Xenopus tropicalis: one gene and its partner. The protein of the gene in region 2 interacts with the protein of the main gene of each other region in a biochemical or structural test. Links are inferred from orthologs where the notes say so. Each region holds a gene or a part of one and is shown on either strand. Other genes may lie near its edges.

Region 1 (3,831 bases), about 24 Mb from region 2:
CTTAACTCTGTATTATCCAACCCAGTGAACAACTGTAACAAATTTTTATTTACACTGTTTTTTTTATTAATAGAATCTGTTAAATGCTTATTTTAAAAGGTCATTAATTATGGGGTACCTTTATTTAAGAGAATTGATCTTGCAGCACCTCTATGTATATTTGTATGAAAATTGACAGTTTCAGCGAATGTTAATTATCTTGCTAAGTTTTTTGTATTAATTTGCATATATTAAGAAACAGTGGAAAACACACTGACTTAGAAGATATTATTATATAATATAACATTTATACAGAGAGGATTCAATAAAGAATTAGCTGACTATTCAGATCTGAATATTTAAACAAAGAAAGAGCATCTAAACATCTAAATCAATACAGCTTTACTTAAGGTAGGTTAAGGCCAGGGTATGGTCATCCGCCAATTGCCCAATAACACGTAGGTGGTGTAATACTCAAGGTTATAGGGTAATATTTTTTTTTTTATTTTATGTCCCTCACCGAGTAACATCTTGGGTAGCCCCAGCAACATTATATTTATTTTTTATGAGCTCTTGCTCTCTGGCACCCTCCAAATGTCTCAATATATGTGGGTCACAGACATGACTTTATAGCCTACTGTTCCTAATGTATACAGACTAGTAGTCAATAATGACCTCCCCCACATATTCATTTTCTTATTCTTGCATTTAGGAAAGATAATCTACTGCCACTGGACCAAGTCAGACTGGGCCACCACAGAACCTGACCTCAAGACCTACAATGGAAATAAGTAAGGGCTTAGGATAACTGTCCATGGCTGGGCCCACCAGGATATCCTCTGGTATTCCAGCAGGCCAATCCCACACTGGTGCTGGACTTCCTACCAAATTCCTACATTGTCACTGACTTGCAGTACTATTTAAAACATCTTATCAATACTTTTTCATCTATACATTTGCTAATGATTTGACAAATAAGAAGAGATAAGAGATTCTGTGATTTTTATAACTTTTAATAATTTTCTTATTAAAATCACTATTTTATCTACACAACAATACACTTGTTGGTTAACACAAGAAAAAGAGAGTAAAGTCAAAAGTAAGTATACTCCATTTAATGGCATGGTGAAGCTAGGAATGGATTATTAGTACAATAATGAAATAGAAATAGAAATGGTTTCGATGGTTTTGGTTTCTTACCTGTTTATGGAGCTGACGCTGGGAACTGTATCATTGTCACACACCCGTTCTGCTAATAATCTGTCCCTAATCTCCCATGCAAACATGGTGGGATTTTGACGCTTGTACTCAGCAATTTTTTCTACAACTTTGGGTGTTGCAACCTTTGGCTTTGATCCTCCAATCACACCAGGCTTTATACTTCCAGTTTCATAGTACCTGTTCAAATAAAATTGACAGCATATTTACAAGGTTATTATTGCTAAGTCAAAAAAAAGAAAGAAAGCAGTGAAAATGTGCATAGCAAGGAGTCCCACAGGAATAACCAGAGTCTATTATAGTGAAATGAGTCATTTAGAAGTTAGGTAGGAATTATTTAAGCAAAAGGTTAAACTTTATGGATCAATGTCTTTCTTCAATTTCACCTATTATTTTTCTGTGTAAATATATAGTCAGTTAAAAGGCATTTAAAATTCTGGTTCAATGGAATCTGAGTGTTGCACATAATGTCACCTTGATAAATTTCCTTGCATTATCAGAAATTGCAGTACGACATTCAATATAATTTCTTCATAGCATAAGAATAAAAACAATATATGATTAAGGGATAAGCTAGGATCTAATATCACCAGAGAATGTGTGTGATTAATCAAGAGTGCTATAGGAAAACAAATCACACTTAGAACCATTTTACAGCGAACACTCTGACAGTGAATTGCAGTTACTGGCAAAATGCTCCTGCTTGAAAAGGTTTTATTATTGATGGTGCCGTTTGGCAAAATTGTCCTTTAGAATGAAATCCTGATAGAAATGTCTTTTATTTTGCACAATGGCACCAATATTTTTCACGTCATCTTTCATTCTTTCCATGATACTAGTTCTCTTGAAAAAACACAGGGTAAAATGTTTTGGTAAAGGAAAAATTGGTCTTGATAAGACATTGTCATCAAAAGAAAAGTTTCTACAATATATGTGGCAGCATACCTTGTATGTTGTTCAGTAAAGCCCTACAATGCTACTAACTAATTCAAAACAAAGCACGTTAGTACTGTATATAGTAATTTGGACACAATTTGAACCAGCCCAGTAACCCACACAACCAATCATATGTTTGCGTTCATTATTCTTAAGATATTAGACATGCTGGTTGGTTGCCATAAGATACCATACTGATACAAAATTTGCTGATATTCCTACACAAATCTGTGCCACTGTTTAATGATCTATATGGTCTTTTCTATATTGGCAAGATACACAACGATATAAGCCCAAATCATTAAACGCATGTAGTAAACACCATATTGTGAAACTATAGACACAGGTACTTATTAAAACCTGTACTTATTAAAGTATATGTAATCAACATTGTAAAGAGTTGTTTTTGGTTCACAAATAATCACAGCCCATAGGACTAAATTAGCAGTTATGATTCTCCTTGGCGATAGAAATTTTATATAAGAAAATGCATTACAAATTTTTATTAAACATGCAATGACCAGTCTCCTTCTTTAGCATAAAGATCCTACCTCTTGAGGCACTAGCACTATGTCCAGTCATATCTTAGCACAGCCATTGCAAACAACATAACTTATTACTCCTGTTTGTACCTGTCATTAATCCACTCCAGTATGGAGCAGGGGCTTCCTTCCTCCTATCATGTGCCACTTGATCTTTGCCATTGTGTATATTTATTGCTGTATATAAATAAATACTTATTTTTATATTACAATATTTGTGCTGTATTTGTTCTATTTGTAAAAAATAAAGCTCCATGTCCATTGTAGCACTCTATAAATAAACATGTAAATAAATACAAATAAATCAAATGAAAACAGTTTTACTATGGAAATCATAACAATTCTAGAAGTCAAGTGGCTCTCCTGCTTTCCCACTATAAGGTTATTTTACTATACAAAAGCAATATTTCTAAGAGAAATCTTATTGTTTGACCAGTTGACCTCACAAAATGATTGGAGCTTCTGTGCTACATAAAAATATTACCCAGGTTTCATATATCTTTATTGTGCAAAAGTATAAAGTCAATCAGGGATTCTTAACTTGTGAGTCTAGTCGTGAAATGGGTACCAGTTTCATTGGGGTGGGTTTTCATGTTACCCTTTACTAATGTACCATTTCATTCTACCGCTGAGATTAGTTACTAAACAAGGAGCATAACTGGTCTGAATAAACATTTGGGTCTATAAGCTGATTCTGCAACTTCCTTTGGGTTTTCTGATAAATCTGTCCCTTAGAGAATAGGAAGGGGCACCACCCTTCCTATCATCAAAGGGACAGATTTATCAAAATGTGCGATTAGTGCTCAACACTGAAAAAGTCAGTCTCTTTCTATTAATTTCTATTGAATTTTTAGCAGCATATTTATCAGATGGGGAACTCTAGCTTCCACCCATTGATACATATGCTTCTAAAAACCCAATAAAAATAAATAGAATAGTTAATGAACGGTTCGACCATACAGAGTGGAAACAGATATCTTGGAATACTCAGCATACATTTTAATTTTATAATGGTAATTTTGTTTTTTACTCTTCAATTTCCCTTTAAGATCCTTTTTATTGGCTGCTGCTTTTAAAGCCTGAAACATAGACACATTTAGGAAAATGCAAAGAAGAACTGTAATAAAGTATTATTTTTATGTGTAATATGGATCCA
Region 2 (3,831 bases):
AAGTCTCAGTAAAGACTTATGTAGGACATCATCTATTTTTACATGATTAATGATCCACTGCATGGCTGACCATTCTGTCCCATGTGAATAGCTGCAGCCAGCACATGCCTCTTACATCTATTGAAATTTGGTTGGCTGAGCAAGCAGATCACTGTAATTTGGCTGGCAAAGATGTGTGGTTGAATCATACATTATCCACCAACATAAGCCCATGCCTTGCTACCCTAAGGGTACCCTAAGTGCTTTTCATTGCAGTTGTTACGCTTTAGAAAACCAGCATTGCCCTTTGGAAAAAATTAGTCAATGATGTGCTACCTAAACAAAAATTGGTCTACATTTTCAGAAGCTGTCCAGCCAAGTTTAACGCAGTGTGGGACACCTGGTTAAATGCACAATCTTAATAAATCCGCCAGGCTCGCTTAAGCTCTATATACCTTCTCCTCCTTCCTTCTTTCCTTCTTTCTTCCTCTAAACTGTTATTTTTGTTCTTAAAATGTTAAAACCTTAAATAAAAACTAATAAAAAAAAAAGAAAACCAGCATTAAAAAGTTGGAAATTGGCATGGGTTGCTTCCCACTGACAACAGCCACAATTATAAAGCAGACAGTAATTATTATAAGGCTCCTTACAGCACTCTGCAAACCCTGCATGTAAGTTGGCAAACTGTATGAGCTTTGCTTTTGGCAAGGCACAGGTTTGCAGAATTTTGTACAGGTATACTGTAATAATGTTGCTAGCAGGAATTGCCACTTGCTTCTATTGGGTGCTTGCAATCAGGTCCGAACTTGGATTTAAAATAGGCCCAGGCACAGAGGCCCAAACAGCCCCCCACCAGCCTAATAAATAGTGTCTGTCTATGGCATTTTATAGCAGCCCCTCTGGCATTTGCCAGAATCCACAGAATGCCAGTCCAGGCCTGCTTGCAACAATATGTGTTTCCTAGCCTGGTTATAGTCACATTTTTGGGTTTTTTTATAACCCATACCTCTACCCAGTGTTTGCTGCCAAGAAACTAAAACTTTTTCTGCACTTGACTTGAAACCTGATCAATGATGCACACACACTGTAGGAACACCTTAATAAATTAGCCCTGTTTATTTTTGCTATAATTTATTGATTTACTATCATCAATAATCTTTTAATGAACCATACCGATGCTTTAAAAAAAAAAAAAAAATTGCAACTTCTATTTAACAATCCCAGCACAGAAAATAATGTTCTAAATTTTCCCCCATATGGACTATGCAAACCATGGTAAATAGTGTCAAATTTACCTGCCGTGCAGTTACAATTTAAATGCATGGGGCATCAAATGTGTAAAAGAAGCCATGGAAATTTCACACAGGGATTTTCCGTCAGTGAGAAGCAGCCACGTCTTGCTTAGGCAGTATATTTCACGTATATTTCTGTGGGAGGCGTTGACAAGTGTAGAGGGGGCATTATGACTGCTGCTGTTTTCCACCTGAGGGCAATGGTAGTCAAAACTCCCCATGTGCTATTAGACTAAATGCTATAATGCTTTTCAGCATAATCACTCACTCATGAAGGTCTGCAAATGAGTTCTGGTGACAGGTAAGTTGTATGCGCGTAACAACCAGCCATTGCCAGCCTCCAGGGACACTGACCCATGCTGGCCTTCCTACCACCCCTTCTGTAATTGGCGAGAAGTATTTTATGGCATTAAACTGTAAATGGCTTCATTTGCCTGATAGTCAAATGGGAGACACCCAGGCTGATCCAAATTGCTAATTTAAAAGAACTAACATGTTAGGATATACCAGAGCTCATGACCTTTAATGTCTTTTACATTTCGTTTTCTGTTTGTAAACAAATGGTAACAGTAAATGTTTCTGATGAATTTTAGTCTCTTCGTTCTCCACATATTTTTCACTTAACAGTTATTTTCTTTTTCGTTTAGGACAGTGATGGTGAAAAAAGTGATGACAACCTGGTGGTGGATGTTTCCAATGAGGTGCGTTTTCTTTCTAGTGCCTTCTAGTAACTTCGCTGGACATTCTTAAGATACAATTGCATAACCACACAATTTCTTGTTTTAAGGACCCTTCGTCTCCCAGAGGAAGCCCAGCGCATTCTCCGCGGGAAAATGGCTTGGATAAACCACGCCTTTTAAAGAAAGATGCCCCCATCAGTCCAGCCTCCATTGCCTCATCCAGTAGTACCCCTTCTTCAAAATCCAAAGAACTCAGCCTTGTAAGAAAATCTGGCTCAAACATAGAACTGTGTAAAGGAATACTGTCATGTGAAAACATGTTCTTTATTTCCCGGGGTGCTACAGCCACGTGGCCTGTGCTCTAATAAACTTCATTCACACTTAATTGCTGATCTGCAAGTTGGAGTGTTATAACCCCCCTCCCAGCAGCCGATCAGCAGAACAATGGGAAAGTAGCACGATAGCAGCTCCCAGTAGATATCAGAATAACACCAATAGTGGCAGTGGCACGAAACCCCCCATGTGTCACAGCCGTTAGGGGTCTATAGCTATTGTTTGTATTCTCTATAGGTCTATGACAAAATCAGTAGTACTCAGTGGTTTGCAAGCTAACCTAAACATGTATATTTATGAAAATACTAAATTTTATAGCACACTGGTTGCTTTTTAACCAGCTGAAATAAAGTTTAAAATCACCACCTTCTGTTGACTGGAATAGGAAGTGCCTGAGAGTTTTGGTGCTTTTCAGGCCAAACCCACTTACTGACATAAAGAACTAATTGTAATTAGCAGTTGGGCAGTTTTCATGTTCTGTAAGTAAACTACACTTAATAGGTGAATTTATGCATTCATACTCCTCTAGCAACCCAGTCACAATCATACACACCCTTGTTATTAATAGATGTTTGAAAGATCTGATTATAAAAGCACATATGTAATGACACTTCCATTAGGGTTGTTGACTTATGCTGGGTGAGTGTTTGAGGTTTTCAGTCATGTAAGCCAAAGCGTCAATAAACTGTTTACTTTTGGGAGGATCCAGAGTATTTAACATGTTGGTCTATTCCACCTTTTTGTTAGTGACAGTCTAATGCTAATGGCATTATTGTATATTTTATGTTATGTAAAGACAAGCCATTCTTGTTACAACTCAAGGTTAGTTTCTAGATTTGCAAGTTTTTTTTACGTGTGCTTTTTATTTGTCTTTTATTTTGACCCTGAAGAATGAGAAGTCCACGACTCCTGTTTCAAAATCAAACACTCCCACTCCACGAACTGATGCTCCTACACCTGGCAGCAACTCATCTGGATTGCGACCTGTTCCTGGCAAGCCACCAGGTGTTGATCCATTAAGTAAGATATTATTTATTTGACCTCTATATGTGTAGATCTGTGTTGGACAAGGGACAAACTTGGAGGCTTGGGATATTTCATAAAAAATGCACACTAAATATCTCCAGCCCCCTAGAGTTTTTTTTCTTTTTATAAACCTGAGAATACTAGTACCATAAAGAGCAAGAAAAAAGTTGGAGCCTGCAGCACCATAGTTTAATGGGCCTTATGCAGATGCAACTTTATTTCTGAGTTGTGATTTGTATTCCACTGCTCATTGTCTATATGTTGTTCGAATAGCTATAGCTGATCTAGTTAATTTTACAAAAACTAATTTGGAATATGGTGCTTAAGGTTTTTGTTTTTGTTTTGTTTTTTTTTTTACAGTTTAATCAGTGATTTGTGTTTTATGACATGTTCTTATGTCTTTAAGCAGCAGGTCTTAGGACACCGATGGCTGTTCCATGCCCTTATCCAACCCCATTTGGGATCGTACCACATGCTGGGATGAATGGGGATTTGACCAGTCCAGGGCCTGCTTATGCCAG

Evidence for each region.
Region 1: the proteins of tle4 (region 2) and pax5 form a complex in vitro, tested with the Homo sapiens proteins (2 studies listed by BioGRID). The link is inferred for Xenopus tropicalis from reciprocal best matches to the Homo sapiens genes TLE4 and PAX5.

The regions. Positions count from the first base shown.
Region 1 is NC_030677.2:109,348,571-109,352,401, reverse strand, and holds part of pax5 (paired box protein Pax-5), read right to left. Parts: intron 1,378-3,831; coding exon 1,180-1,377; intron 1-1,179. UniProt on the Homo sapiens protein: Transcription factor that plays an essential role in commitment of lymphoid progenitors to the B-lymphocyte lineage. Fulfills a dual role by repressing B-lineage inappropriate genes and simultaneously activating B-lineage-specific genes.
Region 2 is NC_030677.2:133,086,898-133,090,728, forward strand, and holds part of tle4 (transducin-like enhancer protein 4), read left to right. Parts: intron 1-1,918; coding exon 1,919-1,972; intron 1,973-2,058; coding exon 2,059-2,211; intron 2,212-3,174; coding exon 3,175-3,304; intron 3,305-3,716; coding exon of another isoform or gene 3,717-3,719; coding exon 3,720-3,831. UniProt on the Homo sapiens protein: Transcriptional corepressor that binds to a number of transcription factors. Inhibits the transcriptional activation mediated by PAX5, and by CTNNB1 and TCF family members in Wnt signaling.